Yarrowia lipolytica: one gene and its partner. The protein of the gene in region 1 purifies or fractionates together with the protein of each later gene. This does not show direct contact. Links are inferred from orthologs where the notes say so. Each region holds a gene or a part of one and is shown in the gene's direction. Other genes may lie near its edges.

The links. Proteins that work in one complex are often made in the same cells at the same time.
Region 2: the proteins of YALI1_C23818g (region 1) and YALI1_F39550g purify together in Saccharomyces cerevisiae (affinity purification with mass spectrometry; 3 studies listed by BioGRID). This does not show direct contact. The link is inferred for Yarrowia lipolytica from reciprocal best matches to the Saccharomyces cerevisiae genes YAK1 and YPL247C.

What each region holds. Positions count from the first base shown.
Region 1 is NC_090772.1:2,378,373-2,384,293, reverse strand, and holds YALI1_C23818g (uncharacterized protein), read left to right. Parts: upstream 1-2,438; coding exon 2,439-5,177; downstream 5,178-5,921. Other genes in the region: YALI1_C23873g (uncharacterized protein), read left to right, coding at 1-917; YALI1_C23826g (uncharacterized protein), read right to left, coding at 1,088-1,609; YALI1_C23755g (uncharacterized protein), read right to left, coding at 5,461-5,921. UniProt on the Saccharomyces cerevisiae protein: Negative regulator of the cell cycle acting downstream of the cAMP-dependent protein kinase. Part of a glucose-sensing system involved in growth control in response to glucose availability. Phosphorylates POP2.
Region 2 is NC_090775.1:3,953,149-3,957,412, reverse strand, and holds YALI1_F39550g (uncharacterized protein), read left to right. Parts: upstream 1-2,322; coding exon 2,323-3,585; downstream 3,586-4,264. Other genes in the region: YALI1_F39603g (uncharacterized protein), read left to right, coding at 1-994; YALI1_F39557g (uncharacterized protein), read right to left, coding at 1,181-1,705.

The sequences.
Region 1 (5,921 bases):
AGAACGAGATTCTTCCTGAAGCTCTAAAGATGGGTGACCAGTGGGTCATTTACTGGTGTCTTTGGAGCCAGGACCGACGAGGCGATGCCGTTCGATCACTGGTTTCCCACGAGTATCAGGATAAGAAGCGGGGCTCTGCACATATCGTGTCCAACTCGCGGTCGTTCCTTTCCAACGACCCAGCTCTGTTGATTCTGTACCAGTTCCTGCGAGACTCCAAGTTTAAGGTGGTGAGCTCCAACAACGGCGTCACATCAGCCACCGAGCTGCAAAGTGTGTTCACTACTGCCAAGCTATACTCTCGAATGGGCTGCGAGGTCATTGCCTTGAATCTTGTCCGAAACTGGAAATTCAAGAAGGACGAGGTTCCTGAGAAGGCTGATGAGGACGTCCAGGAGAACCAGAAGCCTGACGCGGACTCCCTTGCTGCGTTCAGGGACTTCAAATCCAAACCGGCCCCCATTCCTGCTAGCGAGGGTCCTTCCATGTTGGAGGGATTTGACATGGGTGGTGGTGGGAAAGGAGCTCCTTCGATGTTGGATGGGTTCCATGAGCCAAAGAAGGAGTCCAAGACCAACGCTAGTCATCCTCCTTCTATGTTGGATAGTTTCCAGGAGCCACCTTCCATGCTGAGTGGATATGAGGAGCCCAAGAAAGAAAAAACGTCCAGTGAACCTCCCTCGATGCTGGACAGTTTCCATGATTCTCCGAAGACAGAGGACAAACCAAAGAGCGGCACTGAAAAGAATGGTGTCAATGCTGCGAAGAAGGAGGAGGAGGACAAACCAAAGGCGGATAAGCCCGAAGACAACACTGAGAACGGTGACAAGACTAAGAAGGAAAGAAATGGCAAAAAACCAGCTCCCCCGAGCCAGTTCCAGGAGCCCGACATGAGCGCCTTCTCCTTTGGATTCTGATACATTGAATTACAAATACAATCGCATAACTATATGAATGAAAATAACTTATTTAGACCAATAATGTATCGTGGACTTGTCCGTGACAGACAGAATTACACCACAAGAATGGAACCACGCCTAGATGATTGCTACTGCAACCGACAGCTTCGATGAGCTGGTTGGTTCGCTTATTGAGGCATGTTTCCAAAGCCCTCGTTGATCTTTGCCTTTGAGAAGTCCATTTCCGGGTGCTGTTTTTTGAAATTCTCCAGGAGCTGCTGCTTGCGCTGCTCGTCCGACGTGGGCTGGCCCATTTCCTTCTGCCGCTGGTCGTACATCATCTTTTCCACCATGGCTCGTGTTTCTCCGTCCAGATCACTGAGGTTGGACTTCTCTGGCTCGATCTGGGAAACGTCAATCTTGGGGGCCGTGGTAACCACGTGTGGCCACCATTCCTGGTTGTGGACCTTCTCAATGCTGATGGTGACTTCTCTCTGGTCCTCCACAGTCCACGTTGACTCTTCAGGGGCGATTTTGCCAAACAGATCGCCTTGAAGAACGGGAGGCTGGCCCACGACACCTGCCGAGATGGTCGTGGGGGTGAATTTGATATCCATCTGCTTGCCACGAGTGCCTGGAGGCACGGGGAAGGTGATTGTGATGTCCTGGAGCGTCTGTCGCCACGCGTAGTGTTCTTCTTGGTGGCTCATGTGTGTGTATTGTACTGTCTGTACTGCAGCGTAGTTATGCAGATTAGTTGGAAAGCTAGTTGAAAGGTTTGGAAGAGAAGTGGAAATACTAATAATAACCCAACGGGTAAAAAAAGCTTGACAGACCCCTGCTGTGCCCGCAATTACCCTCAGTAGAATGCGTCATAGATATACTGGCACAGTAGTGATAGGGGGCTCGAGCGCGAGTTTCTGGTAGCAGTATGACAGGACCGAGAGTACCACGGTAGGGTAACCGATGCGACGACCAAGAGCACCCTCCCCCCAGAACACCCCGCTCAAGCGCATTAGTAAGCATTCCGCCGCCGCCGCATGAAACAACTGATGCTACAATATGTGCTCACACGTCACCGCATGTAGTGCAGCAGGAAGTGTATCGAATGGGAGGTGGGAGGTGGGAGGTCACGTGACCGGGACGAATGCGATGGCGGCGACGGACCTACTGATGGCCTTTTCTGGTCCACCTGTTCACCGGGGGGCATTTATTATGTTACCCCCTTCAAACACGCCAAGAGATTGCTTCCACTTCCTTGTTTGACGTTTTCCACTGTGGTCCCCCCCATGTTATGAATTAGACTTTGGTTTGGGCTACACTGACACTCCACATCACCAAGTGTATCTGCACTTGTATCTCTGCCATTGGGACTCTTCCGCCTCGGACCACGCCGAGATTGCGTCTGCACCCTATCCTTCTCACGAGGCCACGTCATTCGGCTCGATCGCGCTCCGCAAACACTCTGTGCCACTGCTCGCTCAACATTCGCTTGTCGATCGGAGTGCAAGCCTGACACCGACCGCCGCCGTGACCGTGATGGACCATTCGCCGTCGCCGCATCACCGCAAAATGTCGTCCAACGGGCACCTGATGCCGTCGCTGATCGGACACAAACAGCAGCAGCAGCATCAGCAGCAGCAACAACAGCAACAACAACAGCCACCGTACCCGACAGACTACTACCGTAAGAGCTTTGAGAGCGCGCCCAACGTGTCGGCCTCGAGCTCGGCAGCCGCTGCCTCTTCAACTTCAGCAGGAATGGGATCTCCGCACATGTCCCACTCACAACGCAGTCTGTACTACCACCAACAGCAGATGGGTCCTTTTTCGCCCTCGCAACCGCATCCGCAGTTCCAGACGTCCATGTCCAACGCCCTGTCGACCCAACAGCTGCCCCACCCGCAGCTCATGCACCAATACGAGCCCTCGTCGCCTGTGTCGACCCGCAGACCCTCACACGAACCCAGCCACTATCCCCCGACGCAGACACAGTACGGCCTGCCCCCCGGGCTCCAGCATCAACAACATTCGTCGCCACATGAACCGCTGTATAGGTCGCAACCCGGCACGCCACTGGCACCTCAGATGCAGCCCGGCACTCCTCTGGGATCAGTGCAAATGTCCTCTTCACCTGTAACGCCCCAATCGGCTTCTTACAACCCCTGGGCGTCCCCTCACAGCACCCCCGCAGGCAACTACGCCCGATCGCGGGTGTCACCGGTGCGCAAAGGCCAACCATCTCAACAACCCCAGCAGCAGCAGCAGCAGCAGCATCAACAGACACCCCAGCAGCATTACAATCCCGCCATGCCGGCAACAAAGCCATACTATTGGACGCAACAGGCACAACAAACACCTCAAACACAACCACCTCCCATCACAGCTCCTCAGTCGGCCCCTCAAGCGGTACACGTGGCTCCTCAGCCCATTCATGCAGCTCCACCACAGCCACCGATACAGCCTCAGCCGCAACCGCAGGAGCCGCCTGCGTCAATTCCTCCTCCATCCTTCCGACCGGTTGAACGGGCTTCTGACCTCAATCCCCAGGTCAACCCAAGACCCCAGAATCGTCGGGCAATCCCCGAGGGCGGCTACATGTCGCCTCTCATGTGTCTGACGTTGCAGCTGTCAGCCACGTACCAGATCTGCAACTCGGGCTTCAACTACGAGTCGTCCAAGAACCCACGCAGGGTGCTCACCAAGCCCAGTGAGCCGAAGCTTAACAATGGCCACGACAACAGAGACAACGACTACATTCTGTACGTTAATGACGTCCTGGGTACTGACGAAAACAAGCGCTATCTGGTACTAGATATTTTGGGTCAGGGTACGTTTGGGCAAGTGGTCAAGTGCCAGAACATGAAGACTAAGGATATTGTGGCGGTCAAGGTGATTAAGAACAACCCAGCGTTCTTAAACCAGAGCATGATGGAGGTGTCGATTCTTGAGTACCTGAATAACTCGGTCGACAACAAGGACGAGCACCACATTTTGCGGCTCAAGGACAAGTTTTTGCATAAGCAACATTACTGTCTCGTGTTTGAGCTGCTGAGTTCTAACCTCTACGAACTTCTCAAACAGAACCAGTTCCGGGGCTTGTCTATCAATCTCGTCAGGGTGTTTTCTCGCCAGCTTCTGGACTCTCTCACAGTGCTGAAAAACGCCAAACTCATCCATTGTGATCTCAAGCCCGAAAACATTTTGCTCAAAAACCTCGATAGTCCCATTATCAAGGTGATTGACTTTGGGTCTGCTTGCCACGAAAGAAAAACTGTCTACACATATATCCAATCGCGGTTTTACCGATCGCCCGAGGTGTTGCTCGGTATCCCATATACCACCTCCATCGACATGTGGTCCATGGGCTGCATCATTGCCGAGCTATTCCTCGGTCTTCCCATCTTCCCTGGAGCGTCTGAGTACAACCAGCTGTCTCGAATAGTGGCATCTCTGGGTGACCCTCCTAATTGGATGGTTGAGATGGGCAAGAACAGCGGCAAGTTCATGGAAAAGATTGTGGACGACCAGGGCCGCAAGCGATACCGGCTCAAGTCGCGGGAGCGATACTCCCGTGAGTTTAACGTGGATGAAAAGGAGTCCAAGCAGTACTTCACATCTGCAAATCTCAAAACCATTATCATGGAGTACCCCTTGCATAAGAAGGATATGAAGCGGGCGGATATTGACAAGGAGATGCTCAACCGCGAGGCGCTGTATGATTTCCTCATGGGTTTGCTCAACTACAATCCCTTTGAGCGGTGGACTCCTCAACAGGCGGCATCTCATCCGTTCATCACCGAGTCCAAGTTCACAGGTCCCTTTGTGCCACATCCCAAGGAAGAAAAGGACGTCTTCCACCCCACACCGACAGCCCAGCCCATTTCGCAGTCCCAGCCTCTACACGCTCAGGGCCAGAACGCCAATGCCATGGTCCCCCCCGGCCCAGCTGCAGGCTCCTCCGCAGCTCAGACGTCTGCTGAGGCGGCGCAGTATGCACACATGCAGCCTCCTGCCAACTGGAGCACCGGTCTGAAGCAGCAGAACTCGGGTTCGGGTTCGAGACGACCGCGAGCGTTGACATATGGATCCATGGATCCCATTCCGCCGCCTATTCAGAGAGCAACGGCTATGGTTAATCCTGCGGACCATATCCAGGCCCAACCCAGTCCCGCGTACATTCCTCCATCAGAGCTGACCAGGAATCACCAGGGACAGGGAAACGAGTATGGTGAGGTGGTGAGAAAGTTGGAGAATGGGTTGATGAGTCGGTGGTAGTACATTTGATGAGTCGGAGGTAGTACAGTTGAGGACGTTGTCCGAGTGCGCTATCGTCGAGTGCGAAGGAGGCCGGTCAACGGAAGACGTAATGCTGTGATTAACCAGCTCAACTACTAGAAGAATCTTTGCATCATGTATAAATGGATTTACATATTTTTATCCCATAACTGGTACTGTAGGCAAGGCAAGATTGGTTTTCCTTTTCGTTGTCCGAGTAATAGTTGTCGTGCCTGATGACAATAATCAGATTCATGTTGAAGCATGCATTATAAATATCTATCTACAGTTTATTTCCCATTTCATCCACGGGGACCACCTCCTGTATCTCCTCGTCCTCATCTCCCACATCCTCGACGGCCTTATACCTCCACTTCTTCGTGGCTCCATTCCACTCTCCAGCCTGTCTCAGTAGCTGTCTCATGACTGCCACCTCCTCCTGATTAGTCAACTTGAGAGCAAACTCGTTGGCAATGTCTTTCGACGACAAGCCTCCTGCTCCGGCCAGTTTGAGACTCTCGCTGATCTTCTCCAGCAGCTTGACCTTGTCCAGATCGCTCATGTTGATCAGACCAGTGTATGCATTAGTAGACTCCTCCAGGGATTTCTTCGCCTTAATGTTTTGCAGAATGGAGGACGAAGAGAACTTGTCTGACCCAAATTTCGGCACTCCGACTTTACCAGCCGACTGCTTCTTCTTGCCAAACTTTCCGGCACTGCCAAACTTGCCCGTCCAAGTCACAG
Region 2 (4,264 bases), on another chromosome or scaffold:
GTACGGTACAGGTAAGGTGTACGACAAGACGACGTTGGAACGAATTATCACCAAACTGATTCTGATGAAGGCGTTGAGGGCACACACAGAGAGAAACAAGTCCGGATTCGCATGTACGTATCTCCGACCGGACTCTTTGTGGCGAGACGTGTTACAGGGCAACGAGGAGGTGACAATTGTCACTCATGTTCATGACACTGGCAGCAAAAAGACCGTGCCTGGTCTCAATCGGACGAACAGTCGCCCCGAAGGCGAGCCTATGGGTTTCGAAACAGCCAGTTCGTTTGCGAGAAGGACCAACTCTCTGGATCCCCTCACTCCCTCAGGAGCGTACGCTCAACCCAATCCCAAACCAACTTCTCGAAGCCGTGCTGCTCTTCTGACCACCACGGCCACTTCCAGTATAAAAAACAGAGTGACCAAGACGAGCACTCCCACAACTGCGAAGAAGCCGGTGGCTCGGACCCTCAATGGAGCTGGCCTCCAGAGAACTACTGCTTCCAAAACCCCTTCCAGGGTCAAGACCACAGCTACCATCAACCTGACATCCGATTCCAGCACTAGCAGCAAACCTGCTGCTCCTAAACCCGCTGGCAGTGCAGCCACAACCGCTACCAAAACCACTCCGATCTCAAACAACAAATCGACTTCTAGCTTCTTTGACAGGCCACTTTCGGAGGCCGCATTGACCCAGAGACACCAAGGAGAGGCCTACAAGCGATTAGAGGAGGTGCGGTCTGATCACTGCAACGAGCAGAACCTCACCCGGCCTTCCAGTGTGTGCAGCGAGGATGTGCTGGAGGTGCTGTCGTATGAGTTGCCCACTAGCTACAGCGAGTTTGCGACTCTTCTTCCGGACCACAAGCAGTTGTTTGTGGTGTTTGCTCCAGCTCTGAAGCTGCTGAAGCAGGAGAGGGAGTCCTTAAAGGTCAACAGAGGGGTTTCCAAGGGTGGAGCCACGTCGTTGAAGGACAAGTTTGCATACACGTCATGATACTATGCTGCCTACAATACTGAAATAACGGGCAGACATGTTATTGCATTACATTTGCATTACATTTTTTGCATTGATTTATTGAATATGAATATATGATTTAGAACAGGTGTGCGTGGATGTGTAACAAGTGTATTTGTACAAGAAACGAGATAGTTGCGCATTTATATGTTCTTAGTTAGTAGGTTAGACGGTGTCATCATGATAAACGAAACGAGTCTGTTTGGGGTTCTTGGGGGCATGCTTGATGTATCGTTCGTCATCCGGAGGTCGTTCGTCTCTGTCGTTACTTCCTAGCATGGACTGTAGGGAAATGCACACCGACGCCACCGTCTGGACCGGTGTCCATTCGTCGCCCAAAATGTCCAGGCAAATGTGACCATTACTGTAGATGTGAGGGTGGATGGGGATGGGTCGAGCTGGCAGTGGCATGAATTGCACCTGGGGGCTTTCCACCGGATAATTGGGACCAATGATGAATTGGAGTCGGAACGTTTTGCCAGTGTACAGCGGGTTGTCATTGTTCACCTCCAAATCTATCTGCCATGTTTCCAGGTCATTGGCTTCAACCAGTGTGATGTGTGCTGGGTTAGTACAAGTACAGTATGATAGGCGCAAAAGAGTGGGTGAACGTCCGTAGTGATACTCACAGTTTGGGGGAGCGGTTTTTAGCCGTTCCAGCTCCTTCATGATTCTTCGTTGGTATGACATGATGGTCGTTGTCTATTGGATGCAGGGTAGGATGTGTGTGGTCTCACAAATCTGAGGTCGTGTTGGTTACAGGTTGTGCATCCTCACTCAGGTCCAGCTCAACTTTATCTTGCAGCTACCAAGTGTGCTTGGTGATGCACGTGTAAGCTGAGGGGCGGGGTACAAGTCCGTACCATGACTGTCAGGCTTGTGATAAGGATACCTGTAGACTCAAAACCAGTTCTGTGCGGAGAAAGAGGCAGGAATTACAGCCACAGTACTTATATGACCAATCATGATCAAGTTCGTATCTTGGCGTGTGTGCTTCCGCCGCTAGTTCTGGTCACGTGCCCAATGACGTGGTGACAGACTCCTGAAATGACCCCTTCAGCAAGATCTCCAGTTTAATAACAACTCCTATACTGCTACTCAGAGCTCTAAATTATATTTCTCTTCCCAGTAGCACTCTTGTTCCTACAATGTCCTCCTCTCGGTGTTCGTGTGCGTATTGGTACTGGCAGCTAACAATGTTCAGTCGTGCGCTAGCTACCCCATAAAGTTCACGACCAACAAATGCACCCGGTATACACCACCTTCACCCCAATATTGCATCCATCATCACACACCAGGGCCCGGAAATGCGTCCGTCTCTAGGAAAGCGGTCGTCATTCTCGCATTTTTCAACTGCCCAGCAGCAACCGATATCGCCCCAGCAGCAGCGATACCCGCCTGGGTGGAATCCATACGATGAAGAAGCTACAGCTGGTTCGTCGGGACCTCATACAGCAGCCAAGACGAGCAGATACAGCGCGTCGGCGGCTCCAGGAGAACCATACATGTGGGAGCAGTCTGCCCAGGCTAGCTCCTACGCTCCTTCTACAGGGATGAAGTACGCGCCGAGCGACTACCAGCTACCGCGAAGATCTGCATATTTCGAGTCCACCATGCCGCTGTACTCAGTTAGCTGGAGCACTCCGGCTGCAGACGGCATGTCGTGCCTGGCGGTGGGCACGTGCAACGATGAGTCCAAGAACAAAATCCAGGTGGTGCACACAGAAGGCAATTCGTTCAACTTGGCGGCAGAAGCATCGGTGCCATATCCATGCACCAAACTGGCGTGGGACTCAAGGCTTGATGCTCAGGGAAAGCGCCAGTTTGCCACATCAGGTGACTGTCTGCGCATCTGGTCGTATGACTCGTCCAAAGGGTTTTTGCAGCAGCGATGTTCGCTGTCCAACTCCAAGTCCGGGTCCATTTCGCCTATCACCTCGTTCGACTGGAACAAGGTCGCGCCACATCTCATCATCACTTCATCCATAGACACGACATGCACGCTGTGGGACCTCAATACATCGTCCGCACGCACCCAGCTCATTGCCCACGACCAAGAGGTCTACGACGTGCAATTCACAGCGGGGTCCACAGATGTGTTTGCATCGGTTGGGGCCGACGGATCGGTCCGAGTCTTCGATCTCCGAGCCCTCGACCATTCTACAATCATATACGACCCGCCCAAACCACCGCCTCTAGTGCGAATTGCCGGATGCCCTTACGACGGCAACATTTTGGCTACTTTTGCAGGCAACTCGAGTAAGGTGCTCATTCTGGATATTCGCCAACCGGGCATGCCCATAGACGTGCTACAGCAGCACCAGGCTCCTGTGAACGCCATCCAATGGTGCCCCCAGAGCGTGGTTGTAGGAGGACAGCGAAAGAGATTGTTGGCATCTTCGTCTGACGACTCACAGATCATCTTGTGGAACACGGCCGTGCCGGGCGACTACCATCTGGACTCGGCCTTCACGGACTCGGCCGAAGTTAATAACATTTGCTGGAGTGCATCGGGAGATTGGATTGCAAGCGTTACTAACAAGGGTGTTCAGGGAGTGCGTCTGAATTGAGACTGAAAGGGTGAATGACGGCATATACATTTTTCTGGGGTAGAGGTAGACGAGCTTAGGGTAGCTCTCAGAGACTAATGGTACAGTACAAGTAGTTTTCTGTAAATAGAGTGCATTTCTACAAGACTAGTAGTTGAAGGTGAAGTGGATCGTACTGGTACAGTACTTACAGTACATACTGTACGTATAATTAGTAAATCATGTACAGTGACCATCCGGGCAATGCTTAGCCGCTTGAACAAATACAGAACGTATGTACAGTAGATGCCTGTTTTGGCACCATAGGCAGTGCTACAGAGAGTTGGTGCAAAGGACAACCAAATGTATATTGGTAAGCAACAAGTACTTGCAAGATAAATGACGACCTATCAACTTTACAGCATGAAAATTTCTGATACTGTACCTGTACTTGTATCATTTTTGTAACCCTCTCCACTCTCTCTGATACACCACACTGTAAGTTTCATCTCCGTTTCCATGTGAGTGATGGCTACTTGTAGGGCCCATTTCAGTGTCGTATGGTGTAAATTTTTGGAATTTTATTAAATAATTCTCACAAGTGACTCAATTTCATCATTATTATCATTTTTTTTTGGATCAAAAACACCCGCTCCTACTCTCCCATTGCCCACTACGCAACGTCATCTCGCGTATCATAGCACGCCTCCCCAGAGTTTAA